Linked DNA regions of Schizosaccharomyces pombe. The protein of the gene in region 3 interacts with the protein of the main gene of each other region in a biochemical or structural test. Each region holds a gene or a part of one and is shown on either strand. Other genes may lie near its edges.

Evidence for each region. Proteins that work in one complex are often made in the same cells at the same time.
Region 1: of the proteins of alp7 (region 3) and cdc2, one has a biochemical effect on the other in vitro, tested with the Schizosaccharomyces pombe proteins (one study listed by BioGRID).
Region 2: the proteins of alp7 (region 3) and alp14 form a complex in vitro, tested with the Schizosaccharomyces pombe proteins (2 studies listed by BioGRID).

What each region holds. Positions count from the first base shown.
Region 1 is NC_003423.3:1,498,235-1,502,595, reverse strand, and holds cdc2 (cyclin-dependent protein kinase Cdk1/Cdc2), read right to left. Parts: upstream 2,389-4,361; 5' UTR 2,353-2,388; exon of another isoform or gene 2,311-2,352; 5' UTR 2,257-2,310; coding exon 2,220-2,256; exon of another isoform or gene 2,152-2,219; coding exon 1,983-2,151; exon of another isoform or gene 1,911-1,982; coding exon 1,610-1,910; intron 1,509-1,609; coding exon 1,203-1,508; intron 1,149-1,202; coding exon 1,068-1,148; 3' UTR 501-1,067; downstream 1-500. Other genes in the region: protein wwm1, read right to left, coding at 3,181-3,795.
Region 2 is NC_003421.2:1,009,544-1,014,814, reverse strand, and holds alp14 (microtubule polymerase alp14), read right to left. Parts: upstream 3,373-5,271; 5' UTR 3,054-3,372; coding exon 624-3,053; 3' UTR 501-623; downstream 1-500. Other genes in the region: SPOM_SPCC895.08C (uncharacterized protein), read left to right, coding at 1-167; elongator complex subunit Elp2, read right to left, coding at 3,939-4,274, 4,317-5,271. UniProt on the Schizosaccharomyces pombe protein: Required for bipolar spindle formation and proper chromosome segregation. Has a role in connecting the kinetochores and the plus end of pole to chromosome microtubules. Also required for the activation of the spindle checkpoint pathway.
Region 3 is NC_003424.3:5,001,744-5,006,276, forward strand, and holds alp7 (kinetochore-associated protein Alp7), read right to left. Parts: upstream 2,743-4,533; 5' UTR 2,453-2,742; coding exon 1,028-2,452; 3' UTR 657-1,027; downstream 1-656. Other genes in the region: tbc13 (GTPase-activating protein), read right to left, coding at 1-233; serine/threonine protein kinase Ppk16, read left to right, coding at 2,928-2,951, 2,999-3,092, 3,160-3,209, 3,378-4,533. UniProt on the Schizosaccharomyces pombe protein: Required for bipolar spindle formation and proper chromosome segregation. Has an indirect role in connecting the kinetochores and the plus end of pole to chromosome microtubules by targeting alp14 to the spindle pole body.

The DNA.
Region 1 (4,361 bases), on a different chromosome or scaffold from region 3:
ATTTAATTGGTTACCTTTTTCTATGATTAAAGCATGGAAAGTAAAATGTGCATGCGCAGTTTAATGGAAATGCTCTTCCCTCCATGTATTTGCTCCCTTTTCATTCCTCTCAAGCCTCCAAACAAATTTGTCCTGCGTTTCATCTTTAGACGTTATATTTCCAATATGTCTCGTTTCATTCTGTCCAATTACACTTTGCCAGGTTCAATCGTTAGTATGTATCCATGCATCTAGTGGTTTCTCCTGCGCTGTTTAGTTTTACTTCTTGTTTATACGATTTATTAATTTTGAATTTTTCCAAACGCTCTAGGTATAGACTTAAGCTGTAAATGATGCTCGCTTAGCGTTCAATATAGTGTGAAATACAAATATTCATATCACTTTCATCTTGTAAAATTTAATAAACACGTATGTCTGTTGAACAATAAGCACATTTACGTTCTTTTACCGTTTGCTCGTAAAATTAATTCACCTCTTTGATACTAAATACATCTAAGTAAGTGCAGTTTATATGTTCAGAGCAAACACGAACACTAAAAACTAAAGTCTAAAGAATATACACCTTTTTTAATACTTAAGTATAAAAAATATGTAAATAGAATATAGTATAAATGAGGATTAAAAAACTGGAAAACAAAGGATAAGAGTAAGTAAGAAAAAGGGAGATTAAAAGGCTTCAGTTTTATCAGGAATGAAAGAAAAATAGATTTAAACACTCAGAGCCTGCTTTTGTAAAAAGAACGGCGATAATTCCCTTGACAGTCAAAGAAAGCATTTAAAGTGATATTTACAATAAAGACACAGTAAAGGGAACAGAACTAAAAACGTTACTAAATTCACATTTAATGGCAAGCTCAATATGTCAGTGTTTTTTATATGCCCTGTAAATTGCCCATTGTTTGAGTATGTTTTGAACAAACGCCAAGATTCGAAAAAGAAGGAGGAAAATAAATATTTTCGGTTTATAAATTGAGGTAATTTGTTAATAACTGATATCAAGAAACACAGCAAAGTACAGATAAAGTCAAGGATAGCGTTTTTAAAGGTTTAATAATAAGAGACGAAAATTAATGAAAATCACGAAGATAATTTTGTTGCAAAGCTCGTTTTGCACTAATGCGATGGGCAGGGTCATAAACAAGCATAGCCTTGACAAAATGGTTAGTAATTAGTCTTAAATAGATGGTAATGCAAAATCTTACAGAGAGTAATTCAATAGCGTCCTCTTCACCATTGGGAACAACTTTATGCAAATCCATGCGTTTCCAACGAGGAAATGTGGATTTGTAATCTTGCAAAAGCGTGACTCCAGGCCATACTTCTTCGTTTGGGGTACCTAAAACTTGAAAAATTTTAAAAATTTCGTCGATCTCAGAGTCACCGGGAAATAATGGACTTCGTCGAATCATTTCAGCAAAAATACATCCAACGCTCCAAATATCAACCCCAGTGGAATAATGTCTTGATCCCAACAATACTTCAGGAGCACGATACCATAAAGTGACAATCTAAACGGTTAGCGACACAAATTAATGCTGAAAGACCGTCAGTCAATATTCCAAATTTTTTGGGAATAAAGTCATACAGCCAAGTAAGAAAAAAAATATACCTCATGCGTATAGTTCCGCAAAGGGACACCAAATGACCTCGCAAGTCCAAAATCTGCTAGCTTCAAATTGCCTTCTTTGTCTATCAACAAATTTTGTGGTTTTAAATCGCGATGAATGATTCTTCTAGAATGGCAAAAATTTACACCGTTCACTAGCTGGTAGGTAAACTTTTGAACAAGTCTCGGATCTAAACTAGTGGCCCCAGTTTCTGAAATTCGGTCCATGTATTTTTTCAAATCCATGTCTAAAAACTCAAAAACAAGATACAACTTTGATTCAGCATGTAAAATATCCAAAAGTCTTAAAAAAGGGTTAGAAACAAAGTTTTATCAATGTAAACATTTCCCATGCATCCGTCAAGTAAAAACTTACCGAACACAATTTGATCGATTATTCTCATCATTCACTTCTTTAAGAAGCGAAATTTCACGAATAGCTGTGCTAGGAACTCCCTCAGATTCATCTTCAAGGCGAATTTTTTTCATGGCCACAATACGCCCTGACAATTTATGTCTTGCTTTATAAACAACGCCATAGGTTCCTAGCATTAGTCAGTATACGTGACAGAAAAGAAATTGGATAAGTCATAGCTTCCTCAGTTACACCTACCTTCCCCAATTTTTTCGACTTTTTGATAATTCTCCATTGCAAACCACTAAAAGAAGCAACCTAGCGGTATGTTTTTTGGAAAATAATTTTTCTAATATCTGTTAATAGAGATGCGAGAATGATCTCAAAATACGTTTATACAAATTTGCTTATGTTGTGTTGTGCTGTGGGTAAGCTTGCTCAACTAGCGATAGACTAGTGGAAACGCAGAGGACTATTATCAAACCGAACTTAGGGCTAGCGCTTCATGTTTCTAACTTATGAATTATACTGTTATCAAAAATGAAATTAGAAAAGTAGGACATAACTCATTACTTGCAATTTATACTAGGTGATCAGATATGAAGAACTACATAATCAAAACATCATCTGAAGACATTGTATAACCGTGAATTAAAAAATTGTAAATGTGAATATCAGTCAAAAAAGTGCTATTATTAAATAAATAAATTTACGGTAGGTTGGATTATCCTGAGTTGTCTAATATTTATAGACTAACCCTTTAAGATAAATGTGAAATTGTAAAAACTGTCAAAGACTTCTCCACCTGCTCGCAAAGAAAACAAAACATTTTTTTTTATTTAAAAGAAAAATAAATAAATAAATATCACACTTATAAAAACAAGCAGAATCCGTGTGTATGTCAGAAGTTACAGAGTCATAAAAAAAATCCAGATAGATAAAAAGCATTGCGAAGGAGAAAAGGTAAAAAAAAGTTAATATAAATAATAACTATTACTAGGGAACAGCATTGAATAAGTCAATATTCATTTACGACGAAGACTTTCGAGTTAACCACACTAATGAACTATCCCCGTGTACACACAGGTGTAAAATGAATGATCTTATATTTCTGCAGTAAAATATGTATTAATCGTTCATCTAATGTAATTTTTCTTGCGAGAAACACTTGTCAATAATGCAGTTGAACTCAATAACATAATCGATGCATGAAATTCCCTTAAAAGAAATCATTGCCAAAGTCATTACCTCCATAATCATCAAAATTGTTGTAGTTATTATCATCTACATAAACAACTTCTTCAGGACGATCAAAAGCTTCGTCCATTTCATGCATAGCCAAACCACCGACAAGAAGTCCGCCCAAACCAGTCACCATGGGATTAGACAAGACTCCGCTACGACCTCTTCTTGCAGAAGTAGCAGGCTGGGCATATACGGGTTGTGCGTAGGCAGGCTGGGCTGGGTAATAATTTGGTTGATTGGGATAATAATATGGTTGTTGAGGATAACCGCCCTGAGGGGGATAAGGCTGTGGAGCGGCCCCGTATGCTCTGTTTTGGGAAGCTGCGGGAGCAGGAGCAGGAGCAGCAGAAGAAGCAGAAGCGGCAGGAGTGGCAGGAGCGGCTGAGTTGGAATAAGAAGGAGGCGGTCCACTTGGGGGAGCAGAGTGGTCCACCGAAGGAGGTGGTGGAATAGTTAAACCACGGACCGGACATTCCCATTGCGGCTTTGCTTTGGGATCACTTTCATTAACATAAAAGTAACACTTGTAGCGTTCATCCCACTGAGCGACCCAGCCATTAGGGAGACCTTCACGAGTTTGATAAGCCATAATGGAATTTAAGAAATATGTTGAGTATAAATTGAGAGAAAAGTTTGGAATGAAGGGAATATCTTAAAAAATAATTTTTTTGGTAAAAAAGACAGTTAACAAAAAATAAATGAATTCTAATACTTCTATCTGCTCTGTACGCAAGAAGTAATGGTAACAACAAATGGAAAGAGAAAGAATACTTCTAGATAGTTGGCCTTTTGCAAATGAAAAAGCAATTGATCAAATAAATGAAATTCCGCGTATGATGGTGAGATAATTATAGTGGTTAAGATCGATAAGAAGGTTGGAGAAGTTTGATGCTAGCAGCAGTCATGGAGCTATTCGTGGTGAAAGGTGCCACTAGTATGCTTAATTTCTTAAACTAATATTCAGCTATACAGTGATTCTTATAGGCAGTTTTTTTTTAAATTTGTTATCTATTACATTACATTATAACGAAACTACTTGAGCAATGTAAGTAATCAATATTCATATAGCGATACTTAGCTGTTTCTACAAATCTACAGATATTATACAGGTAATTGAAAGTCTCAAAGAAGTGAAGAAGCGGATAAGTTCATCAC
Region 2 (5,271 bases), on a different chromosome or scaffold from region 3:
TTCATAGGAAATTAGAGTCGGAATTGTCCCATTTACCGCCTTATTCCCCTTATCGTGATTCTTATTTCTACCTGGAGGACGATGATGGTGATGCCGATACTCCTTCCACCGCTTCTTTGGACTACTTTAGCAACATCAGTCCTCCGGACTTTTTGAACAAAGCTTAGAACTTTTCATTGGGCAAAGACTCATGTGATTGTTACTCTTTTTTCGACTGTCTGTACTTTACGCATATCTTTATTTTTTTTCTTCTAACAATTTCTTTATTATGTTTAATTTTTTTAAAAAGAGGTTTTCGTTTATACTTGGTACGGCTATACAGTATACTTGTGATGCAAAATTAAACAGACTACTTTTTTTAATGACACTAATACGTTTAATGCGATAAATTCGTACGTTAAAATTCTTTTATTTATTTTATATGTTTGTTTGTGTTGTGTGTTTGAGTTACCATTTGACTCCATCTTTAACCTATAGTTAAATCTGATTTTAAGAAATTTGGTATAAACGAGAATACGTATTTTGTTATTATTTTTGTAAACCGATATTATCATTATTCTAAAACATTAAAAAATAGAAAGGGAAGTAAGGGACATTGGAATGTAAACGAAAGAATTTAAAAACTAGTGAATCAATCCCTGATGTCTTTGGTCTGTTTGTTTCATCTCAGTAATTTTTTGTTTTAGTTTGGCAGCTAAATCAATGGCTTTAGTCCAATCAGGATTGATATTATTGGCCCTTGACGAAAACGGTGATCTTGGTAATTCAGCATGAAACGTGAAATTACCATTTGTTTTCGCAGATGCTAAAGGGGATCTCTGATTCACATCTATAGAGCTATAAAGTTTAGGTCTAGTAGGTTCAAATTCCCTCACTGAACGTTGAAATGAGGGACTCGTAGAGAGCTCTAAAAAGTCAGTATTAGCTCTTCGCATAAATGCAGGTTTTCTGTCTCCTATTGGTGAGGCTTTCCTGGCACTGCGTAAGGTATTTAATTCACCTTTCAATTCACTGAGTTGTTTTTGCATAGAAATATTCTCTTCATGTTCAACTTTCAACTGCTCTCGTAACTCCTCGTTTTCTCTCTTCAGAGATTCTAAAGACGAAATGGTAGAGTCATTGTCTTCTAATACTTTAGGGTGTTCATAACGATCAACTCGTGAATGCTTAGCCGGTTGAGGAGCCGGATCGTCCAACTCCATGTTCTTCAAATTTTGCACCGTTTCGTTAAGTGCTCCCGAATTCAAAGGAGTGGAAGCTTTTACTTTTTGTTGCAAACTGGAAGATGTGCCTCGTGAAAGCCCTCGAGAAACTGGCCTCGTAGTCGGTCTTGGTAACAAAGGACCATTCTCAAATGCATTACCCTTTGATACATCCATGGAAAGCGATTTGTTAGTTGCCTTTCGTGGAGATGGTACAACTGGACTAGAAGGAACAACGGATTTCTTGACAGCCTTAGCATTTGAAGGTACGACGACTTTTGATTCTTCTTGTTTTGAAGGTTTAACTTTCGACTTTTTTGTAGGTGCCTTAGCCTTTACTGTAGCTGTTTCATAAAAAGAACGAATTTTAGATTTCCTGATGTCGTCCAACGGACTTAAATACTGATTAATGGCTCTTTCACCAACGAGTTTCATCAAAACACCCAAGGCTTCTGCTGCCGCACTACGCACCGGCTCAAAGGTATCAGAAACACCAGGAACGCATGCTTTAGCACAGGTATCAACTGTAAACTTAGATGGTAAGGATGTCATATTACTGAAAGATCTCGAGAACAAACTAAAGCAGGAGCTTTTGATTTGAGGATTTTTGTTCCCGGCAAAGCTAGCAATGAGCTCGGCTAAGTCATCCAAACTGGATGTAGCCAAAACAGCATCCATCGCAGAAGATAGTGATTCGATTACATTAGCCTTTTTCTCTTTGGATCGTTCCAACAGTGCATTAATAGATGTTGAGGCATACTTCGAAAAATTTGAGCGTAAACCTTTAGCCATCGCTTGTATACAGTGTGCAGCATTTATAACCACCATGATATTTGCGTCTTTTGAAACAGACTTTGTGAGAATAGCAACTAAATTAAAAAAATCGTTGTCTTTGATCTTTGGTTGAGATAAGACAGGAAGTAGTTTGTCTAACGCTTCCTTACGATCCTTCCATTTCGAAGAAGCCATTAAAGTTTCCAGGTTAGGATCCACATTGGGTAAAACGTCCACTTCTTCTACCAAATCAAATTGATCATCTGACGGTTCTGGTTCACTTTCTTCATTCTCGAGAGCAGGTTGCTCTTCTACCTGTGTTTCAACATTCGGCTCTGATGTAGGTTGCTGACTTTTCAAAAAACGAGTTTGTTTGGGAGGCTCTGTTGGTAGCTCAGCAAAAAGAGACTCAAGCTCTTTCGTCTGAACTGGTCTTAGATCTTTAAATAGTAAATCTTTTAAAGGATCCCCTGTCCACCGATAAATGTTTACAGTTAAACGAGATGCTTCCTTACGAACATTTTTATCAGCATGACCAAACAAGTTGGAGATATGTGGAATAATCATTTTTGAAGGAATAACTTTAGCACCAAACTGCTCAACTAGACTAGCAATGGCAGCGACATTAGAAGCTATTACCTTCGGGGATCGAGCCGATAAAGAAGGAATGATTGATTCTATAACTGGCGCAGCTGAATCTGCTTCAACTAATAGCATAAGAGCTTCTAGTGCATTTTCCCTTGTACCTGCGCGAGGTGATGTTAAGCATTTCTCTGAAATTGAAAGGACTGATATTTCACGAGCTTTAAGTAAATGAGAAGGATCGGAAAACCTGCAATAAGCTACAAACGCTGCGGTACCAGCTTCTTGAGCTGCTACGTTGCTATCAGTCAGCACTGATTTCCACAATTCACTCTGATTATTCCAAAGCTCAAAGCAATTATCCGAACCATCTGCTGAAAGTGAAAACGATTTGCTGCACTCTTCATAAGCAGATAGACGCACTTTCCATACTTTATGTACTATTCTTGATTCTAGAGGAAGTTTGGAGTAGTCTTCTTCTTGATCTTGGCTCATGTTCCTCCGGGGTGCCAAAAATTAAAGGAGCGTATAAGATAAATAAACAGCAAATGCTCTCCCAAAACTCCAATTCTAAAACTCAAAAGTTGTACTTAGTACCTTTTCTCCCTTTTTTGAATAAATAATAAGTAATTACTCGTTAAGCCTGTAGGCAAATACAACACTGTCAAACTTTACAGAATATCGATTTAGCAAGGCCGGAGTATATAAGTATTAACTCGTTGAGTCAACAAATTCAAACCTGAGAAAATATAGCCTTTAATAAAAAGTATCTTTATTAAGACTTAGGTTTGCAAAATAGATGTTTGGAGTTGGTAAGTGTTACTTTTGGACACTACCGAAAATGCAGTCATTCAGTTGAATATAAATTACTTCCTAGCTTGCTCCGTTCTTTCAATAAATGTAAACGAGTAATAGAAAGGGAAAAAAAATAAACTAAATTTCGTAGAAGTAATCAATGTTCTTAGTTAGATTTACAACTTGCATTCTATTACGCTTGAAAATACTTCTTAGTTAAAATCTTGCCTTATCTACCTTTTAAATATAATTTATTTTTAAAAAAAATTTTTATGTGTTGTTTTTTTCTCTAACATGTAAAATTGTGTTTGAGTTAATTGAGAAGACTACTACACCAAAGTTTTTGATACTAATAATTAAAAATACATATTTATATATATATATAACAACTAAAGTAATGAATCAATCTGATGAATGTCTACCATTCAGCACTAATTATGCCAACCTAACAACCCATTAACCTTCCTTTTATTTATCGACAATTATAACAATAAATAATTTATCTAAGCATTTTTAACCACCCCTCAGGTATGTTTAAAACAGGCCAACCCAATCTAACATTACCAATTGTACTTATTTTCAAGTTTATCCCAACGTAACGTTCAAAAGTCGTACACTGGTATCTTCGCCAGCAATTAAAAGAGAATACAACCCCATAGTTTCAAAAGTGGGCTTCCATAAAATTTGGTTAATTGACTCCATAGGAGCCATGTGGTCTGGTAAACGTGTTGGGTACCATTTGGTAAGATTCTCTCTCGGGCATCTCCAAATAAATATTTTACCAGCTTCAGTTCCTACCGCAAGCAAGAGTTCATCGTTGTGAAAGAACGGAGCAAAGTCAACAGCGGTAACAGCATCAGAAAATTGGAGAGCAGCAACATCACATATTTTTTTATTGTCATTGATTTTCCAAAATTTAACCTAAATAGTTAGCAAGATTTGATCAAATAAAAAATTACTCACGAATTTATCACGCGAAGCAGTCGCAAAAAAGTAACCCATTTCTTTGGGAGCCCAACTAGCATCCCAAATAATACGAGAATGCGCTTTTATAGAAGCAAAGTTATTATAATCCAATAAATTTTCGGCTTGCTCATGCAAACACACCAACCGATCCCGCCCAGCACTTAAAATGTATCGGTCATCAGGTGAAAACTTTATAGTTGTAACCGTCAAAGAATGACCTTTAAGGACTTGCTGCTGATTCCATGACTGCGTTTCGTATAACCGAATGACAGCATGTTCGGGGGTTTGTGATTTACAAGAAGTCGCGGCAATATTACCATTATTAGATATGGCGCATGCATAAACCTCATAACCATGGCCGAATAATTTTTCAACTTCCGGAAACAATAGCAAACGCTGTAAGTGTTCTTCAAAAGGAGGATGGTTCAAAGAACCAATCACATCAGCAACAGGAGTCTGAACTTCTTCTGCATTTACCGTACCAGTTTCAGATGCAGTGGTAGCTTTATTAGAAAGACCTAGTAAAGGAACATTTGCAGCATCAGGTAAGCTTTCCTCCCCAATATTGGTATCGCATAAACGGTAAAGAAGTCTAACAATTGTTTTAGGGAATTTAAAAACACGAGACACCTTTTCATCGGCACAGCTCAAAAATCCAATTCGAGAAGGCATACAGGATATAGAGGTTAAGTCATAGCCATGGATCTGAGGTCGAGCCATTTCATGCCAAGCATTATCCTTTTTAAAACGTGCAAACAATCTAGTAGTTTGATCTGTGCCGGCGGATAAATAGAATTTACCTTCAGGATCCCAAGCAACGCCTTTCACTGACTTTGTGTGACCAGAAATAGATGGAAGTTGGAGCCATTGCCCAGCATCTTGCTTCCAGAGTCTCCATCCACCAGTTCTTCCCCAGCATACTACACAATTACCATTTGGGTTCCACAAACCT
Region 3 (4,533 bases):
ATAAGAAGCTCTTGAACGAAAGATGTATAAGTTTTTCGATGTTTTTCTAGAACTGATTGCCAGTTTGATCTATCGGTAGGAAGGAACTCAAGCATCAACATCCAAGCTTTTGCCCTAAGTGAATATTCATCAGGAATTCCTTGAATACAAAGCGAGCATAAACCAGGGAGAGAAATTGGCTCTTCCGAATTTAAAATGTCTTTAAATTTTTCAATGCGTTGCTTATAGTCCATAATAAACTAGAAGCGATTCAAATAAGATATTATGTAGTTTGACTATATCCAATTTAGTTATATTATCATATATAAAATATTACTGTTGAAAATTAAATATATGAAGAAAAGGAGAGCGCAATTGGTGTGTTCAGTAGCCTGTTTCACACGTGGATGATGGAACTAAGTTAGCTACTAAAATTGAATGCAAGTTTAAGAACCGACTAAATTTTCTGACTTATTTTTTATACTAATTTCCTTCTTAACAATACTTCCCTAATCAAATACTGTAGGAAAGTACAGAGTAATGAACGTCCTTAGTAGATGTACAGTATAGGTAAGATTGATGTAGGTGCAACATACAGACCAGGAAAGAAATATTTGGTTTAAACAGCACCTAGAACGAGCAATTAATAATAATTGGATATTTATTAAATAAATGCACCGTTTTCTAATGTATGTATGTGAGAAATTAGCCTTGAGATTGGCTCCAGTTTTGATTCTATCTATAATACAAATAAAAGAAGAAAGAGTGGATATGCAATTTATATTAGGTTGTATATCGAACTGTTATGATGTATAAATATACGAAAATTGGTAGATAATGTATAACCATAAAAGAAGGCTTAATTAATGGAAATCAAAAGAATTCGGGTTGTATTCATGAAACTGGGGTCATCAATATGAAACTAAATTAATCATGAGAATACAGAAGTGGTTTGGATAAAGGAAACGGCATCAATACATTAGCAATACTCTATCAAAAAAAAAAAAAAAATTATGGAGATTGTTTTTATCAAAAATGAAAGCGCAGATCATGATTTTTGCTCCAAATTCAGTTGATCCATTGCAATTACCAAGTCCTCGCTCATTTGTATCAACTGTTGTCGTTCCTCCCTTTCGACCCGGAGCTCTTCTTGAAGCGCTTGCAGTTGTAAACGAAGTGTTTCCAAATCACCTGTCTGTTGTGATTGTTGTTGCATTAGTAACTTATCACTCTTCGCCATATCAGCTTTAAAATTGTTCAAAAAATCTGACATATCTTGGCGCTCTTGAATGGCTTTCTCCAGCTGTTTTTGGAGAGTCTGATTGTCTGCTTTCAATGCTCGCCTTTCTTCCTCCCAGTTACTGTTGGATATTTTTGGAGCATTAGGAGCAGTACCGATTTGATTTTGAAGCTCCTGTATAGTTGCCTCGTATTTTCGAGCATAATTGGCTTTGAAAGCATTAATTTTCTGAGTGTGCTTGGCTGAGTACTGAGCATGTAAATCTTCAGCAACTTTTTCCATGCGTTCTTGAATTAACTTGTCAACTTCCTCTTGAGTATATTTACCTCTCTGAAGAGCTAATGTCTCTTCATTATGCCCTTCAACAAGTCTCATGTTGGTATCCTTTGTGGAGGGACTAGTCGATGCTTTTCCAGATCTAAGTTGCTGAAGTTGGTCATTAACGGCAATCAATTGTCCCGAAACATTGACGATTGTATTTTGGAGTACGGAAATTTCATGATAAGTGCCAGCAAGTTTGGCTTTGTAGCCCTCTATTTCAGCTTCGTATTTCGCTTGCTGCTTTTGAGTGGAATTAATTGGGTATTGAGTAGGTATATCGGCCTGTGAAGTTGATGGTGTAGCAGAGTTGCGAATGTTGTCTTTCAAATGCACTGGTGGGTTCAACGGCGCCGTATTAGTTTGACGTGGGAAGCTTCCGTTTGAAAGCACTGGGGGCCTAGAACTAGCTGATGTTTGCAAAGATGATGAATGACTGTATGCAAAATTAGATGGAGCGGTATTTAAAGAGCCTCGTTGGGAGGCCGCATTGGACGATGAAAATAAAGAAGGATTCTTCGGCGTCAAAATAGATTCTACATTTCTTTTTCTATGCTTAAATTCTGGCGTTTTATGCTGTGACAAAGGATGGGATATGGGATGCATCGGTCTAGGGGTTCCTGAAAAATCAAAAGATTTATTCAACTCTAAGGCTTGTAGTCGATCGCTTACTCGCTTATTAAGAGTATCCTTTAAATTCAGCTGTGGATTGGGTTTAGAAGTTAACTTAGGGAATAATTTAGGGGCAGGCATGGATTCCTCTGAACTTCGTTGAGCTGGAGGAATCAATGATTCTGAAGAGGCACCTTGCCTTTTTTCATGAAAACCCGTATGATCAGTTTCATTTGTCCCAATACTAGATGAGGAGGGAGACCTCCTACTGTAATCTGTAGAGCTCGAAACGATATCACTCATTTTCGGTTATGACTTTTTAAAATCGTCAAACGATATAAAGAACTAACAGATATATGAAATATAAATACACAAGAAAATCCTTTTTCAAATATTTTACAGCTGGTATTATCGTTTCAAAGTTAACGATCAGTAGCTAACTTTTATTTTTACTTTTTGAAAACTGGTCAGATGTCCGCCTACGTAGAACAATGGTTCAATAACAAACTTGAGTCATACAATGCCCAATAAATAACCCCTTATTGCCCTCAATTCTTCGTCTTGATTCAACACTAGGCGTACAATGGTGGTGTAAATAAAAGGCACATACATACTGGTTTACACTGAGTAAGGAGAGAGTGGGAAGAGTTCACCGAGCTCTCGGTGAATTTTCGGTAGCTTGTTCTCCGAAGCCTTTGTAATAACACCAAAGTATCCTACTGTAAACACTAAACAATTTGCAAGTCAACCTTTGATATTATGTGTGCCAAATTTTAGTATGAAGAAAAATGAAAAGGCAAACGTATGTATATGAAAAGAGGGAAATCGTGATTATCTAATGAATGGCAGATATCGGCCTCATACAATGACCTAATTGCAACAATTTGCAATCCTCGTATCTCTGATGTCGGTACATATCGCATTGAGAGTGTTGTCGGTGAAGGTACGATACTTTTGTGTTATTGTGAACGCTCAATACTGGACGGCTATCTAACAAGCATGGGTTGTAGGCAGCTTTGGAAAAGTTTATTTGGCAGCTCATTTACTGACAAATACAAAGGTATGGGTTATTCAAAGATTACTATGTCTCTAAGTTATAAAAAGAAGAATAAACGGCTCGTAAATTGCGAATATTGACCGTTCCAAAGTCGGTTGATTACATTATGAGAATGATAAACGTTTTATTCATCAATAAATTGATTGTACCTTGCTAACATTTTTATTAAAGGTTGTCCTGAAATCATCTTGCAGGAAACAAGCGATTATCCTTGCTCGAGAAATTCATCATCATCGGCGTCTTCTTCATCCAAACATCACGAGGCTTTATGAAGTAGTATGCACCGAAGACCGAATTTATCTTGCCATGGAGTATTGTCCAAATGGTGAATTGTATGACTGGGTAGCGAGAGAAAAAAGGCTGGATGAAAAGACCACTTGCCGTATCATGTGGCAGCTATGCTGTGCTATTCAGTATTTACATAGACAAGGCTGTGTTCACCGTGACCTTAAACTCGAAAATATTTTTCTAGATAAAGCCTACAATGTTAAGCTTGGAGACTTTGGGTTTTCTAGAGATTCTGATTGTTCCCGTAGAACATTTATGAACACACGTTGTGGTACAGTTGCTTATTGTGCTCCGGAGCTAGTACAGGGCCATAAATATATTGGTGAATGCGTTGATATATGGTCTCTGGGTATAATTATGTACGCTCTCTTAATAGGAAGGCTCCCGTTCGACGAGGACGATGTATCTTTAACTGAGCAAAAAATTATCAATGAATGTCCTCAATATCCTGAAACACTCTCCAAAAACTCTTCAAGCTTGTTGAAATCCCTCCTTTGCAAGGATTACCGACTTCGACCCTCTATCGATCAAATCATCTCTCACCCCTATTTCAAGGAAAATGGATATCATTCATCTTCTATTCGAGACCCAAGGCCTTCCTCGAAAGCAGAGGAAAAAGTTCGTAAAAGGCTTGAATTTGTTGGTGTTGACATGGATCAACTTAATGCCAGCATCTCACAACAGCGCTGTGACATGTTCTATGGATGGTGGCTTTTATTACTAGAAAAAGAAATGCGTAAGGAAAACAAAAAAAAGAAAGGTTTGTTTCATTTACATAAAGGTTCATCTTCGGCTGTACACATAGCTCCAGCAACTCCATCATTAAAAACCGCTCAAGTTTCTGTTATGTCCAACAATCAGGATTCTTTAAAAAGTCGGCATACATCGTCAGATTCAAGTAATTCTTTGCTTTCTACATTTCGTAGTTGGTTATTCGATCCTAAACAAAAGCATACTGCTGATACGTTAAGCTCATCAGCAATTAGACCAAGAACACCTAGTCCTTCGGCTGAAAACTATTTAACTCAAGAAAATTTTG